4 linked regions of the Xenopus tropicalis genome follow. The main gene of each other region encodes a partner of the protein of the gene in region 4 in a complex. Links are inferred from orthologs where the notes say so. Each region holds a gene or a part of one and is shown on either strand. Other genes may lie near its edges. The genes, in order: slc7a10, slc7a11, slc7a8 and slc3a2.

Evidence for each region.
Region 1: the proteins of slc3a2 (region 4) and slc7a10 are in contact, whole or in part, in a cryo-EM structure (PDB 8WNT), measured with the Homo sapiens proteins. The link is inferred for Xenopus tropicalis from reciprocal best matches to the Homo sapiens genes SLC3A2 and SLC7A10. Residues at the interface, in NP_002385.3 of Homo sapiens: Phe161, Thr162, Gly163, Leu164, Lys166, Leu169, Leu170, Val172, Ala173, Trp178, Arg182, Leu186, Phe189, Trp190, Trp193, Met196, Leu197, Ala200, Ile203, Ile204, Ala207, Pro208, Arg209, Cys210, Arg211, Glu212, Leu213, Arg534; in NP_062823.1 of Homo sapiens: Leu147, Val150, Phe151, Asn153, Cys154, Pro157, Ala160, Val163, Leu164, Met166, Ala167, Met170, Leu171, Trp174, Ser352, Val359, Glu481, Thr484, His485, Trp486, Gln488, Glu489, Leu490, Phe492, Val493, Val494, Tyr495, Gln497.
Region 2: the proteins of slc3a2 (region 4) and slc7a11 are in contact, whole or in part, in a cryo-EM structure (PDB 7P9V), measured with the Homo sapiens proteins. The link is inferred for Xenopus tropicalis from reciprocal best matches to the Homo sapiens genes SLC3A2 and SLC7A11. Residues at the interface, in NP_002385.3 of Homo sapiens: Glu167, Leu170, Ala173, Trp178, Thr181, Arg182, Phe189, Trp190, Trp193, Met196, Leu197, Gly199, Ala200, Ile203, Ile204, Ala207, Arg209, Cys210, Glu212, Leu213, Lys299, Arg534, Gln559; in NP_055146.1 of Homo sapiens: Leu151, Phe154, Phe155, Ile156, Gln157, Cys158, Glu159, Pro161, Leu163, Ala164, Leu167, Ile168, Ala170, Val171, Thr174, Val175, Val178, Gln217, Gln219, Val360, His373, Thr487, Gln489, Ile490, Ile491, Glu493, Val494, Val495.
Region 3: the proteins of slc3a2 (region 4) and slc7a8 are in contact, whole or in part, in a cryo-EM structure (PDB 7CMI), measured with the Homo sapiens proteins. The link is inferred for Xenopus tropicalis from reciprocal best matches to the Homo sapiens genes SLC3A2 and SLC7A8. Residues at the interface, in NP_002385.3 of Homo sapiens: Thr162, Gly163, Leu164, Ser165, Lys166, Glu167, Leu170, Ala173, Gly174, Trp178, Arg182, Leu185, Phe189, Trp190, Trp193, Met196, Leu197, Gly199, Ala200, Ile203, Ile204, Ala207, Arg209, Cys210, Arg211, Leu213, Lys532, Arg534, Asp558, Gln559; in NP_036376.2 of Homo sapiens: Leu147, Leu150, Phe151, Pro152, Thr153, Cys154, Phe155, Pro157, Ser159, Gly160, Leu163, Leu164, Ala166, Ile167, Leu170, Leu171, Trp174, Gln294, Ser352, Met356, Val359, Glu481, Thr484, Leu485, Gln488, Lys489, Met490, Cys491, Val492, Val493.

What each region holds. Positions count from the first base shown.
Region 1 is NC_030680.2:68,947,669-68,951,230, reverse strand, and holds part of slc7a10 (asc-type amino acid transporter 1), read right to left. Parts: intron 3,394-3,562; coding exon 3,240-3,393; intron 2,029-3,239; coding exon 1,905-2,028; intron 1,815-1,904; coding exon 1,711-1,814; intron 1-1,710. UniProt on the Homo sapiens protein: Associates with SLC3A2/4F2hc to form a functional heterodimeric complex that translocates small neutral L- and D-amino acids across the plasma membrane. Preferentially mediates exchange transport, but can also operate via facilitated diffusion.
Region 2 is NC_030677.2:61,777,191-61,781,271, reverse strand, and holds the start of slc7a11 (cystine/glutamate transporter), read right to left. Parts: upstream 2,851-4,081; 5' UTR 2,481-2,850; coding exon 2,210-2,480; intron 1-2,209. UniProt on the Homo sapiens protein: Heterodimer with SLC3A2, that functions as an antiporter by mediating the exchange of extracellular anionic L-cystine and intracellular L-glutamate across the cellular plasma membrane.
Region 3 is NC_030677.2:139,584,188-139,588,510, forward strand, and holds the start of slc7a8 (large neutral amino acids transporter small subunit 2), read right to left. Parts: upstream 2,819-4,323; 5' UTR 2,610-2,818; intron 36-2,609; exon of another isoform or gene 1-35. UniProt on the Homo sapiens protein: Associates with SLC3A2 to form a functional heterodimeric complex that translocates small and large neutral amino acids with broad specificity and a stoichiometry of 1:1.
Region 4 is NC_030680.2:36,599,501-36,603,560, reverse strand, and holds the start of slc3a2 (4F2 cell-surface antigen heavy chain), read right to left. Parts: upstream 2,818-4,060; 5' UTR 2,567-2,817; intron 1-2,566. UniProt on the Homo sapiens protein: Acts as a chaperone that facilitates biogenesis and trafficking of functional transporters heterodimers to the plasma membrane.

The sequences.
Region 1 (3,562 bases), about 32 Mb from region 4:
TAATTATAAAACAGTACCTTGTACAGGTATGGGATCTCTTATCTGGAAACCCATTATCTAGAAAGTTCTGAATTACGGAAAGGTCATCTCCCATAGACTGCATTTTAATAAAATAATTCTAATATTTACAAATGATTTCCTTTTTCTTTGTAATTAAAAACAGTACATTGTTCTTGATCCCAACTAAGATATAATTAATCCTTATTGGAAGCAAAACAAGCCTATTTGGTTTATTCAAATGATTTTTAGCAGACTTGAGTTATGGAGATCCAAATTATGGAAAGATCCCTTATCTGGGAAACCCCAGGTCCCAAGCATTCTGGATAACAGGTCCCATACCTGTACTTGATTTTAATTAAGATAAAATTGATACTTATTGGAAGAATTAAAAACCTATTGGGTTTAATTAATGTTAAAATTATTTTTTAGTAGATAATGTATTGTATACAAATTACAGAAAGATCCCTTATCCGGAAAACTCCAGGTACCAAGCATTCTGGATAAAAGGTCCCATACTTGTAATAAGTAGTTCATATACAGTACATAGTTAAAATGAATATTAATGTTCAAATAAGTCAGTGGAATTTACCTTAAGTTTTTCATTTCATTGGTGGTCAGTGGAGTTTGCCCCTACCTGCCCCTGACAAGCTTTTCTGCATTGTCATTGACACATTGCTTGATAAACAAGTTACATAAGTTTATAGCCAGTTTTTGTGGACGTTACATACATTACATAAGTTTTGGTGTCACTTTATGCAAAGCTTGTGTATTAGTATAACTTTTGCAATGTGACATTTGTACGAAGATTACTGTACTGGGCCTGACAGTACCCCCTCTCCTCTCTGATGGCTGCCCTGGTGATTTGTAGCACTGTGCATACTACAAAAAGGGTATTAAATGTCCCCAATTTCCTAACTTTTACCTTTATCAATCTTAATGTGAATTCTCTGTAAATACCAGCACAGGTATGTTTCAGATTATTTCTGCCTGAATTCATGGAAGGAAAAAGGGGGATCCAGTCATGGGTTATCTTCATTAAAAGGAAGTCAAAATTATTAGTGGACATGAGAAAAAATAAAGTAAGACTTTTAAGAGTCAAGGGTTTTTAAAAGTAGAATATGTTGTAAAAATCAGAGATTTGACCTGAATAAGTAGGGTGAACACAGGTCTCTGCACTCTGATTTGGAGCAAAGAGACCTGCACCAATTCTCCTATATGGTGGATTGCACAATGTTTTTGCACTTTGCACCCTGCCCTTCACAAAATTGACTCCTACAGTACAACAAAACAAGAGGCAAAATAAAAATGCTACTGCTTTAGGGGACAAGTCAGCTGATATATCAATCACAAAAACACAGCTTAGTCTCAAAATATTTTAAGTATCTTTATAGATACACTCTAGGAAACTACACAGAAAAAGAAAGCATACTCTACATATTAAATGTGTAAATGTATTATATGTGTTGTAAACACAAGTAGCAAAGAACAAATGTTAACAATTTTATGTAAGTCAATAATAATGATGAAAGTCAATCTTAAGGCATATTTAATGAGCGAAAGTAATCAGTAGTCAAATATGTTAAATGCTAAATCTTTTGGATACTCTCTATTTTTAAAACTACTGTAAAGCTTGATCAAAGATTTGAGAATATTATCAGATTGATGGTGTTAGCTGCTAAAACTACAGTGTTAGATCATACTTCCTCAAACCTTGATGAGGTAAAGAGGTATCCATTTATCCCTCCGAAAGTGGACAGCGCCACTGAGACTGGCATGATCCAGGAAAAATAACCCAGTAGCTTTTCACCAAATGTCTAAACCAACAGAAGGTAAAGATGCTGAAATATAGAGGTAGGAGGCACAGCACAGTTTGTCTGAGATACGGGCACAGCCTTTCTACTTACAACTGCAACGGCATTTGAAGACATGAGTTCTTGAGGTGACATAGCAGTAAAGTATGCGATGTTGGTGAAAGTGTATACAAATGTCACCAAAGGGATGGATAAGAATATGGCACGAGGTAGGTTCCTAGTAAAAAGAAGCTCAGTATTAGTGCAAAATGAATAAAGCACTTTAATGGCTTATTGCCAAACATTACAGATCTACTATCATGATGTATATACAGGGTTAGACTGGGCCGGCCCAGACCAGATCCCCACTGCCCTCCACTGGGGTTGGGCGGGTGGCCCCTTCGAGTGTGTTGTGGCTGCAGCAGGGGGCCCCTTGAGGGTGGGGGGCCCTGGTGGGCCCTGCATCCCCCAGTCCAACCCTGTATATATATATACATTTGTAATTATTTCTACTTCAAGTGTGAAACCTCTCCTCTGCCAACATAAATGTTACCAGCTCATAATTTTGTTTTAATGTGCCATTTATTTTAGGGATGCCCCAAATCCACTATTTTGGTGAGTCCTGAATCCTTCGTGAAAGATTTGCCCAAATCCTGAACCAAATCTGAATCCTAAAGAAAACTGGTCATGTTTATGTGATGAAAAGTCATGTGATTTTAAGGATTCAGATTTGGTTTGGCCAGGCACTTCCTGGACTCAGTGCATCCCTAAATTATTTTAATTCTACTTGACATTCTGTATTCTTAAATAGAGGGATTTAACTCATAACTATGATATATTTCCAAAGTCTGGAGATTAAATCCTAATAGAATTGGTGTATTACAGAGTGGTCCACTATGGCCCCTATCTAGTCAACGGGTCTACATGATGTGGACTTTTTACCTGTTGTGTTATTCTGGGAGAACCACTAATACAGTAACATGCCAAGAAGCTATTATGTGATAACATATGAAGGAGATTCTAGCAGTTGGTCAATGTATAGCACTTGGTTATCTGTTAGCAGTTCCTTTCAGAACTGGGAGGGTTGGGGGAAACAAAGAAAAATTGTAGGATTTCAGTTATTTACTGCAAGGGTAAGGTCAACACATTCAGACCAAGTAAGCAGGTTATCTGCCTGTGTATTTGGAACACCAATGGTTCTTATCCAAATGGTTTCCATAGGTCCCAGTGGTTGATTTCAAGGCCAAAGATCACATCAGCCCAATTTGGCCCAGTATGTGGGCCAATCATGATTTAGATCTGCTCATTTGGTGACCTTGCCAAACTAATCATGTATGTCACTGACCTCTCTCTTTATATGTAACGTGATTACCTGATAATGCGGCACAGTATTAGGATACGCATATTTTAATTGTATTCCAAAAAATACAACAAACAGACACTACTTGCCTTCTAGGATCAACCATCTCTTCTGTGACATAATTAAGAAAGTTCCAACCGCTGAATGCAAAAGATGCTTGTAAAAAAGCAAGTGCCAGCTGCCCCACTGTTGGAATCATCCAGAAATTAAATGCGTTGCTTGGCTTTAGCTCTTCGTAGTTTCCTGTGGGTTAATACCAAACACACATCAGGGGTGGGACAGAAATTGTCATTGAAATGCAAAATGTCCAATCCCTTCACCTTTGTGTAAAATCAGAATGGAAGGTGATGACCCAAGGCTGAGTAGTCCAAGCAGTTTACCTGGTATAACTGTATTTTTACACCAGTTGGCT
Region 2 (4,081 bases), on a different chromosome or scaffold from region 4:
TAATTTATCAACAAATGTGTTTACCTATATGAATGAGCTAACAAACTGTTCTTTTACAAATAATTATTTCCATTTCTAGCCATCTTCAATTCTACCTGTGTGACATGCAGTAAGTCTTACACAATGAGAAAAGTTGCATAAATCTTTAGTGATTTAGGGAGTTCCAAACAGGTAAGATAATATCCCTCTAAGGCAAATTCCACACCCAGTCAAAGGCATTCCTAATATGTCCTTATACTGTACGTACAAGAACGCCTGTGTTTTTATAGGCTTTCCTCTCTTGCACCACTATACCCCCGCTAATTCTTGTTGTGCATGTTTAGAAGCAATAAACCACTCCTGTCATGTACATAAATTTTGTGCTTAAGGCTGCACCAACCTGTCACTTACACTACAATTATTAGATCCCAGTTACTAACAGAACGTAAGTAGAGGTTTCATTCCCACCTTAATAGTAAGGGTGAGTTTTGATTAAAATAAACCATATATTTGTAACCAGATAGTATGCGATAGCACACCAAACTAAAATGATGTTTCATCTGTAAACCAAATGAGTCATATATCCTAACCAGAATGCAAATACCCAGCACACTGATGAGGCTTAGGTATTGCAGTACACACCCTTACCCATCAACGTCATGACAAACAGCTGAAGTTGTGTAATAGATTTGTAAATCCACCCATCTGCTGGTACAGTGGTTACTGAACTTCCATGACCATAAAAAAAGAACATCTAATACATAGCCAATAAATGAAAGAAAAATTGTTCATTTTAAATCCAGTAGGGTTGAATCTATGGTCATATGTTGGCACATTAAACAGTAAATATTGCCAGCTGGAACAGACCCAAATGTCCTTTTTATTTTATTGCAGGAATGCATGGTAAGCAAGGTTCCCTGTGACCCTTCTGCCTTTGGGCAGACAGGGCAATATTTGGGCTTTGGTAGTACACTACATAAAAAGTGCCTGTTAAGGAGCAACGCCAGATGCTGGCATAGGTACACAGATGAGATTTAGGTGTAGGCGGGGGGACTATGTCCTGATACTTTCAGTCAACAATGCCTGTGGGAATAGTTCCCGTTTAATTAATACATGACATTGGTGTTTAAAGAAAGTTTGCAGTTGTTCTTTATTTTTTAATTGTGGGAGTTTCTAAATTATATATATATCTATTATCCAGAATACTTGGGTAAAGTGGAGCACCATGTCATAAGGCTACTAAAAATACATGAATATAAAATCACAAAAGGTTTTTTGGACATCAGATCTCCACATAGTAAATCTCATACCACTATAAACTTTTGAAGCTCATCATTCTTGAATTCAATGGGCAAATATAGCCCTGCATGAAAAAGATTGGAGAAAGAAGGATTGTGTTACAAAAACAGGGGTAAATGAATAATGAAATGGGGGTCTCTAACTTAAGTTGCAGAGTGCAACTAGTAATGGGAAAAAAATGAAATGAATAAGGTCTAAGGTTTATTTGAAACATAAGTTTCCCTTAAAACTGCATTCTGTAATTAAAAATAAATGCATGCAATAAAAATATAAATCTAGATAAAGAAACATTCTATACATTTCCCTTTTCACAAAAACCTTTCATTTACATTTTACTGTTGGCAGAGCAATTAGCAGACCTTTTCTTGCCTAACTGCCATTTGTGCTGAGTCACCTTAAATGGGTGGTTCACCTTCAGGTTAACTTTTAGCATGTTATACAATGGCCTATTGTAAGCAACCTTTTAATTGGTGTTTATTTTTTATAGGTTTTGAATTATTTGCCTCTTTCCAGTTTTAAAATTAAGGTCACTGACCGCAGCCAAAAAATCTATTGCTCTGTGAGGCTACAACCCTATTGATATTGTTACTTTTTATTACTTATGTTTCCATGTTAGAATCTATTCATATTCCAGCCTCTCACTCACACCACTGCCTAGTTGCTAGGTTAAAATGGACCCCAGAAAACAGATAGCTGCTAAAATTTTAATCTTTAGAGCTGCTGAACAAAAAGCTAAATTATTCAAAACCCACAAATAATAATAAATGAAGACCACTAGCTTAGCGTCTTAGAGTAGCACTCTACATCATCCTAAACGTTAATTTAAAGGTGAACAACCCCTTTAATAAAACCGGCTAGATTCCCACATCGCACATCTGGGCTAAAATCATCAATAAATAGCAAACTGTACAAATGCAAGCTGCTCACTCACCAAATAATGAGAGAATGCCACAGGCTGTCCATACAACCAGCGACATTCCTACACTCCCTGTATTTTGGAGAATTCCTTTGGGAGAAATAAAAATCCCAGCTCCAATAATAGTTCCAATGATTATAGAAATCCCTCTCAACAGAGTTACTTTCTTTTTCAGCACCACTTTTTCTCCTTTCTCAGACATCTTTTTGTCAGCTGAGGGCAACATACGGCGTGAGTCCTTTCCTTTGGTGACAGAGTACACATCATCAGCTGCTTGCCTATACATGATGAGCTGAACAGTAGCAGGGATCCTTGCCAACAGAAAAAGTGCCGTGCAGGTGGTTTGTGACAGGCGTGAGCTGCGAGAACTGCTCAAACTTTCCAATGAACAATTCCAGGAGCGGTCTCTCTGTTACTTCTCAGCAGCACCTGTTGTTTCCCAGTGCTCCCCTTATGTACTGGGACAGACCAGCCTAACTTCCGTATGACTCTGACCACTTCTACTTCATTATGCTCCTGTCATGCCGGGTTATTGCTGCTTAATGATGATGCAAATCTCACAGGTTTGCATCAGCCACATGAAAACTTTTGTATTACTCAGCACTTCCACAAACAGCATGTTGCACAAGGCAAAGCCTGATCTGCTTATACAAATCTGTAGGAGTGACAGGAACTCCTGTTGTTTTAAGCAGATCATTGTGACTTGCAGAATGCTTGGGGAACAAAGGATATTTAATCTTTGGCAGCTGAACTGATTAAATGTTGCCTGGGAAAGTGCAAAGTTTTCTAAATACAGGTATGGGACCTGTTATGAAGAATCCTCGGGACCTAAGGTTTTCCATATAAAGAATCTTTCCATAATTTGGATCACCATACTTTGTCTACCAAAAATCATTTAAACATTTAATAGAGCCATGACCAGGGCAGTGTCAAGGAACGTGGTCATCAGACCCACTGCCACTTACCATTTCCCTGTTTGCCCCACGAAAGAACACACAGAGCTGTCAATTCCAATATTTTTCTGGGAGTTACCCAATTTGGCCTTCTCTCCCCCAGCCCCCCTGTCCATTGATAGCATTCTCCCAATTTTACCTCCATCTCCTGAAGTTTTCTTTAAATTCCAGGTGGGAAAGCGCACTCAGCATTCGCCAACAACATTTTGAGCATAATGTGTGCATGCGCAAGCAGCAATCCTTTGGCTTCAATGGTCAATTTACTGTGGTCCCACAGAACCTATGGGCTTATTTATCAATTATTAATCAATTTTTAAATTTGTTTTTCTAAATTGATTAAAATTGCATATCATATGAAATGTTCGTTTATTTATTTATGTGGTAAACTTACGTAAATAAGAAAAAAACTTGAGGTTCAAACTCGAAACAAACTCGAATCGAACATACAACTTGACTTTGCCTAGGACAGCTCCCATTAACTTCTATAGAAACTCACAAGCTTTTAGATGGCACATTTTTACATTCGAGTTTTTGGGTTGTTTGCACTTAATAAATATCAGACATACAAGTTTTTGAACCATAACTGGAATTTGAGTTTTTTTAAGCGCACCTGCCATGTCAGACACCCAGCTGCACTGTGCTAAGGTGGGTAGTGATGAGTGACACTTTTTGCCAGGCATGGATTTGCAGCGAATTTTGGCAGATTTTTCTGCAAAATGGTTGCAAAAATTTGTCACGGGACCCAAGGAGGTGACTGACCATCACAAAGTGTGTGCTGCACATAAGCAGGGGCACCAATCAAACAATATTACATCAACATCATGGACATCATGGATTGTCATGTCTGTCTTTATACTGCAGTAACACAGGGACTCATTTATTAACACTGGGCAAATTTACATCTGGGCAGTAACCCATAGGAACCAACCAATAA
Region 3 (4,323 bases), on a different chromosome or scaffold from region 4:
TCTCCCAATATCGTGCTAATTTGATCATTTGGCTCTAGGGCAAAATGACTGAATTAAAAAGGCGGACAGAGGCGCTGTCGGACCAAGGACCACATCAACAAGCCAAGGCGTTCCCCAATCCAACATATAATCAAACTTGCCCAACTGAGATCTGGCCAATTTTAGACCAGTTGTCAGTTTTGTACACCCATCGAGCATGCCGCCGAATCAGTCTAAAAGTCTCAAATTGGCATCTAAAATCTGCCCTAAAATCTGCAAGTCTAATTGGAAGGCTAAATTTACTAGGGTAGGTGTAAGATATTGGCAACCTTCAATGAAATACAAACCATTTTGACACCCCCCCCCTCCCCCCAGTGGCATTCATTTTCCTTGCCCTATAACTGAGGTTAATATTTTGGATGACTTGGTATAATTTTTTCTTATTATTTTTAACTATTAATTTAATTATGTTGCAGTTTATCCAAAAGGCAAAGTTTGCAGATTTTTCTGGGCCCAATAGTGGAAAGAATCCTTCTCAACTTCCAAAATGATAATCGGCTTTTCTTTGGATCAACATTCTATCCATATTTCAGAAATTTCAGAACCCAGAGTTTCCGGATAAACTTTATGTTGTAACTATTAAGGTCACCTATATTCTTACATGGTTTAATAGCAATTTTTTATTCAAAGGATGCTTACATCATACATTAAATGGTTTAGGAACAATGCACAAAATTGTCTTATATAGTTGAGAATCAAAAAAACCTACATAAGGTGTACAACTCATAAATGATATGTACAGCAATACAAACTTGTACTATACTAACAAGGCAAAAGTGTTTCCCAAGGGATATAATGAGATACCAAATGGCAGGTTGTTTTCAGTGCTCAGCTAGAGAAGTCAAGTATTTGGTTATCATACACAAGATAACTGAATAATGGTGCACAGTGATGTAATCACTTATATTAGGTAATTGGTGATGTCACTTGTGTCATCATGACTCACTGAAACTTGAGTACACTGCATTCTACAACATGGTATGCCCTATGATGTAAAATACAATGACATTGAAAGTTCTCTTGGAAAATGTCTCTGCTAGCTACTACTCCCTTAAATACAATGTTGTCTGGGTTCAGCAGCGCTGCATTCATGTGGTGGTAGTACATGGCTGTCCCCTTGGACACCCCTTAGATTGCACATCATTTAGACATGCCATGCACAGAGCATCAATGAGACTGTACTTACTGCAAGCCTATGGCTTTTTTGCATCCACAGCAACGTGCCTAGTACTAGATTTAGCATGAGGGCTCATTCACATACATAAGTGCAGTCACAGTCCCTGCAACTTCCCTGGAGTCAACTTTTACTAAAGGTACTCGCGGCAACATGTGCTCATTGAACTTCTGCATAGTTGTTGTACTACTCAGTTCTTCCTGCCTTCTGTTCAGAATTGAGTGCTGTTTGTACCTAAAGAATTGAGCACAGATGTCACTCACACGGGGAACACCGAGAATGACGTCAAATGGAAATGCGTGCAGTTTTGTCTAATTTGCAATGAAATGTGCACACAATTGTGTTAATTTTGGTGAATCTGACGCAAATGCAGTAGGTGCAACACAACTGCACTCGGCACATACCCCTTTTTAAGACCTCAATCTAAATTGTACTGAGCTCACAGCACTTTCAGAAGTAAATTAAGTGTTCCAGCACTTAAGCTGGCCATACAGGTTAAGATTTTTCTCTCCCTAACGAACAATTTCAGTGCGATCCGACAAATCCGTCAAATTATCATATGGTTAGTGGGCACCGAACGATCAAACATTTAGCAATTTTTCATCCGACATCGGTCTGAAAATTGGGCAGGTTTAATAGTTTTCGTCATTAGCAATGAAATTCGCCCACTGTCCAACTGTTTGCCGGACCAAGCAGGTCATTTTCCTAGCTTCAACTAGACAATATTGCTTCAAATGTTAGCTTTTGTTGATGGGCAAATCATACTTTTAAACAGTCGTTTCAGGATAAGCTTGGTTCTATGATAACTAAAAGATCTTTTAAAAATTTTAATGTGTATGGCCAGCTTTACACTCAACAGTGTCTCTGTGGGGTTACCATGACCCTAAAATAACAAGGCACAAATGTGATCTTGGTCATATTCCCCGCCATAGACATGGATGCATGTATGTGCAATTTCTAGCATCCTCTGTTATGTGCCAGTAAGAGCAAGGTCTTAGTCACCTTCATTATTTAGTTTAGAATGAATTTTATTTATAAGTAAATGTCACATGAATCAGGGTGACCTAGATTAAACAGCATGGTCAAATCTCTGCTTTGTGAACCCTGCTTTATGACATTCTGGGAAAGTTTCTGATATAGTATAAGAATAGATTTATCAATAGATACAGAGCAATACAGCAATGTACATACCACAGAATAATAACAATATACAATACAGAACATGTAATGTACAGTGGGAGCTACTGAGAGTCTAACGTAATGAGATATAAAATATAAATACAGAAAGCAATAAATGATTCTTCCACACTGCTGTATCATAATTACAAGCTAAACCCAGCCAATCTGCCCCTTGACGTGCGACCCCAGTACCACACCCGGTGACCCCATTTCTCACCCGATCCGGTGTTCTGCGTCCTCTTTCAGGATTGTCTCCGCATCTCCTGTGTGACTAGTGGCAGCTTTAGTGCATCTCTTGTCCAGCAGGAAAAGGCTGGTGTGTGTGTCAGGGCAGTGCTATGGCCAGTTCCTCTATATGTGTGTGTTTTCTTATCTCCCACACAGCCTGTTTATCTGTTCTGCGCACCTGATCACACCACCACCCAGTCTCCTTCCTCTGTTCAAAACGCTCAGTCGAAGCCTTTATATCGCTGCCGCTCAGCTCCTCCCTCTGGCCGTACAGTGTGTTCCTACCCACAGGGTTTCTCTTGCAGATAAACACGCAGAAGGGGGGACATTGCTGTGTTCTACTTCCTTGTGTAGGGAATCCTTTATTGTTTCCCATTTTGCGTATTATTAAGCACAAATTACATCACTCCCAGTAATTACAGTGTGTTTTTCTTCTTGCTCCACTGAGTTGGTACAGACTGATGTGTCACAGTAATGTCTATCTGCAGTATTAGTAAAATGCCCCTAAGGAACAGTCTGTATGACTGTCCCGAAAAAGTTGCTGCTCTAATATATAAAAGTAAATAATAATTATAATGTTACTTTAATCTATATTACAATACACATCCTTGTAAATGTTTTTCTTACAATCAAGGTTATATCCCGTTCTGGCGTCAGAACATAACGCTTCTAACTTAAGGGCTGTGAGTTATCGCCACGCGGCAAATCTCCCTTGTCGCGGGCGACTAATCTGCCCGAAATGCCATCCCACAGGCTAGCATGTAAATCACCGGTGGGATGGCATATGCCGCACTGCGATTTGCCGAAATCGGCATAGTTGCCTTGAGAGGAAACTTCGGTGATTTTGATACCGCGTATGCCATCCCACCGGCGATTTACATTCTAGCCGGTGGGATGGCATTTCGGGCAGATTAGTCACCCGCGACAAGGGAGATTTGACGCGTGGTGACTAATCTCCCTGTCTTTCACAGCCCTAAAGAGACAGCTCCATTGCTAGTTGTCACGATGCTGTGTCCACAGCAAGGCTGACATCTGCTGCTTTGTCACTAGGCACAAAGGCATTCATGGCTGCTAGGTATGTTGCAGCTCTTGCATTGTAGGGTGAAGACACATGAAGCTACTTAGTAGCAGCAATTGTTGTGGCCAGAAAATACCCTGCCATAGACAGTACTGAGAATTGCCTCTGCTAAAACACACATAGAGACAATTATCTGTAAATGATCAGCAGGGTCAGACTTGGCCGGGAAAAAACCCGGTGGGCCCCAGCCCTGGCGGGCCCCGGCAGCCCAAACCTGATCCCTGTTGCTGCTTCCCCTGGCCGCCAATGTCCTCCCCTGATTCTGGCAATTCCATAGGTAATCAAGCTACTTGTTCCAGTTTCCTGATCTGTTCAGTATCTCTCCTGCCTTCCTGTATTCTGTTTCCAGCCTTTCCAAGTCGGCCACTGTGTCTACTGACTTGTTCCAAGACTAAAGGTCCCCATACACGGGCTGATTGTAGCTGCCAATATCGGTCACTTGGACCGATTCGGCAGCTTATGGGCCCGTGTAGGGGCAGAAACATCAGCCATAACCAAACAATATCTGGCTTGAAATTGCCCAGATATCAATCAGGCAGGTTAAAAGATTCAGCTTATTGGGCACCTCTAAAGTGGCCATACAAATCAGGGCTTATTTATGTCAGCAAGTGCAGTGGGCATTGCA
Region 4 (4,060 bases):
CGCCACACACCATTCAGGGCTGAATCGGCAGGTAAGGAGGTAGAAACAATAGGATTTCTACCTCCTTCTGCCGATTCAGCTCTGAAGGGAGAATTTTGGTCAGGCGCCTTCTATGGCGCCCGATCAAAATTTTCTAACCTGGCCGATCGACGAGCCGACCGATTTCAGCAGCTTCCTGCGACATCGGTCGGCTCGCTGACATACCATACACGCACCGATTATCGTACGAAACGAGGTTTCGTACGATAATATCGGTGCGTGTATGGCCACCTTAACTCAAACCCTCTGACCTGTCTATGCAGTTTTTTAAGCCAAAGAATAATTAATGGAGACATTACAGACCAACCTCCAGCTGTTGTTGTACTACAGTGCAGCCCCAGTCAGAGCTTTGAAGCTTTGGTATGTGCACAAGGGCTATCTGTTCCCAGCTCTAGGGGAGGAGGGAGAGAGCGGTTCTGATTCTTCTAAGAAATAGGGAACAGAGCTCCATGTACTGGAAAACAGAGGGGAAGGGGGAGAAGGAAGAAAGCTAGGTGTGGAAATGTTCAGAATGCTTTTACAGCTCTGTTTTTCAGTTCCTGACATTGACGTCTGTTGCGGCTGTGCACACTTTTTAATAACATCCTGGAATTCATTTTAGAGGAGAGGAAGGACGCTAGCACAATGTAGGTTAAAAAAAACAATTCTCAGTGCTACTGGCAGGCAACAAATCTCCTGAAAACGCCTCTCCTTTCACTAAAATATGAAACACTGCATGTGAGCCACTTTACACGCGGTGATCCAGATAAATTGCGAAAAATGTGCAGGAATTTCTAGTTCAAGAAGGTGCATTTACAGGGGCAGTAGAGGGTTTCCATTTTTCCTTTATTTTTGTCTTTTTTCCCTATAAATAACATTGGCATCGAGCATAATTTTTACTGCTGGGCCAGTAAAATACCACCCAGGCTGCAACCCTAAGGGGCACATTTACTAACCCACGAACGGGCCGAATGTGTCCGATTGCGTTTTTTTCGTAATGATCGGTAATTTTGCGATTTTTTTCGGCGTTTTTACGACTTTTTCGTATTTTTTGGGCGTCTTTACGATTTTTGCGTAAAAACGCGAGTTTTTCGGCGTCTTTACGATTTTTGCGTAAAAACGCGAGTTTTTCGTAGCCATTACGAAAGTTGCGCGAAACGTCGCGCCTTTTAAGTTTTAACGCTACGAAAAAGGCGCGACTTTGCGCGCAAGTGTTAACGCTACGAAAAAATCGCGACTTTGTGCAACTTTCGTAATGGCTACGAAAAACTCGCGTTTTTACGCAAAAATCGTAAAGACGCCGAAAAACTCGCGTTTTTACGCAAAAATCGTAAAGACGCCGTAAAAATCGCAAAAAATACTAAAAAGTCGCAAAATGTTTGTTTCCAATCGGAATTTTTCCAATTCGGATTCGAAATCGTGTCTTAGTAAATCAGCCCCTAAGTATAACCCTTGTTCAACTTAAGTTCAAAGAAGAGGCCTTGTGCTGAATATAATTTTTGCCTATTGTTGTAATTAGAAAAAAAATGGGTTTAAATGGGAGAAAATTCTTGTTTTGCTTCAGCAAAACAATACAATAAGTCACAAGGTGGCACATTAATAAGCCACAGTGCTGTCACCATAATAACAAGCTCCAGAGAGTGGGGTTGCCTGAGCCACACTGCAGCATGTTACCATGGTAACATCAGAGGTACGGCTGGCAGTAAGTTACCATGGTAACATCCGAGGTTTGGCTGTAAATGGAGGCTGCATTTTAAGTGACATTATTAGGTCAGGGTATACCATCACATGAAAAAAAAAAAAAAACAACAAAAATGGAAATGTTGATGTGGGACGAGACAGATTCTTTATAAAGTTGCACTTCCAGGATTTGCAGAGCTGGCATGGGCTCTTATTAGAGCAATTATACTTGTGCTTACTGCTTCCCAGCCCCAACCCTTCCCCTCCGGTCTCTCTTAGATACACTCAGTAACATGCAGAGCAGAGAGATTTGTTCAGCATAGCTCCACACCCCCATCCCCCACCACCCAAGCCCTCCTCTTGCCTTTGAAGCCGGCTCCAGAGCTGACCTTCCTGCACCAACCCACTCCGACCAAGCTGCACCCTGGGAGCCCCTCTTTCCCTCATCATCTGCACCCTGGCACCCCTCTTTCCCCCATCATCTGCACCCTGGCACCCCTCTTTCCCCCATCATCTGCACCCTGGGAGCCCCTCTTTCCCTCATCAAGCTGCACAGCATGACTGTGTCCCTGCTTCTCGCCTCACAAGCTCCACACACTGAAAGCTCACTGACTGTGCAAGAACACACTTGTACTCAGAATGTAATTTTAGGTGGAAATTGTAAGAAGCAGGAAACATACAATTAAGGAAGTAGGGGGGGGAACGCGTCGGCGGAAATCCACGCATGGTCAGTGTTTTGCTGTTCATTGCCAATCCCACCCACACATACATACGTACAGACACTCTTTTTTGCCCCTGCCATGCGGTGTTTCCCCGCCCCAGCCATTCATAACTCGTAAGTTCTTCCTGCTTCCTCCTCCCATTTTACCTTGCCCATGATGCTTTTCTTTTGTCTCTGGTTTACGCTTTGGGCTGGCATTTTCCTTCCTCACAAAATGGCTCCGGATAACCAACCTAAAATGTCCGCCTGGCATTCCCCTGCCCAAACCTGTCGGCACCTCAGCTCTGCTGCATGATACTGAGCGCCTCAGGCTGACAGAGGACTAAAAGAGAAGGGAAGCGCTGGGGAAGCAATGAGCAGTCTGGTAAGATTCCCTGGCAGCTCTGCAAAGGATTTACTGCCCCTTTATATGTACTAGGCAACTCTAGCTGTTACATTCTAAATAGACAGTTGGTCTCAACCTTATTGCTGCTAATAATTCCTGCTCATTCTGTTATGTTAATGGTTTGCTGCTATCTGCTTGAAATGTATAAATACATATGTAATGATGTACAATAAAGTGCTGAAACACAGTTTAATACAATACTGATATCCTCTGTTTTGTACTATTTACTAGAAATGTTATCTTCCTCTTTTTCAGGCTTAAGGTCCCCATACATGGGCCGATTCTAGCTACCAATAAAGGTCCCTTAGACTGATTCAGCAGCTAATCGGCCCATGTATGGGCACTGCCGCCGCCTGAAATCAGCCAGATCAGGATCGGGCAGGTTTAAAATTCTAGTTGGATCGGGGACCGCATTGGCAAGTTGATGCGGTCCCCGGACCGACTTTGCTTATGCCCGTCATTATAATTCGATCGTTTGGCCCCAGGGCGAATTAGCCTAGATTCTCCCGATATCATCGCCAAGCGAGCGGATCTTATGGTGTATGGGTACCTTTACATGGAGAACAAAACATAAATGGGTTTGTAAATGTAAAATGTAAAATAGTCTTACATTTGCCTACATCTAGTAACCAATAGCAACCAATCAGATGTTTTTTCATAGCTGACCGCTTTATTCTACTCGCTGATATTACTCTGGGTTACTAGTTTATTACATTACACACAAAATGTAGAGATTTTTATTATATTATGCCTAATGTCGAATGGAAAAGTGAACGTGAATATGCTGCTGGATTCACTAACAGTTTTACAGCTTGCATTGGGATTAGGGTTGCCACTTCTGAAGGCTTTCTTAACCAGGCAAGGGGGTGGGACCATGATGTTGTGGGGCTGGGAGGGGCTGTGATGTCATGGGGGTGGGGCTATGGTGCGGCGACAATGTTTCTGAGTCCTGCCCAGTTTTCTTAATTTGGGAAACCGAGCGTGAGGTTTTGACCTGGGCAGCCCTTCTGAAACCTGGGCTGTCCTGGACAAAACTGGACAGGTGGCAACCCTAATTGGGATGCAGTTCAAAATGTTAAGGCACCCCCCAGTGATTGCATTCACTTTCCTGATTCACCAAGCTGGTGTTACTGTTAGCAAAGAACAGTACAAGCCTGGGGTATATGCAGGAGAGCGATCCTCTTCTTTCTTTGCACCGGCCGAGAATGTGCAGTTGAGTGAATAGCCACACTGCTTGCAATGTATAAATAAATATG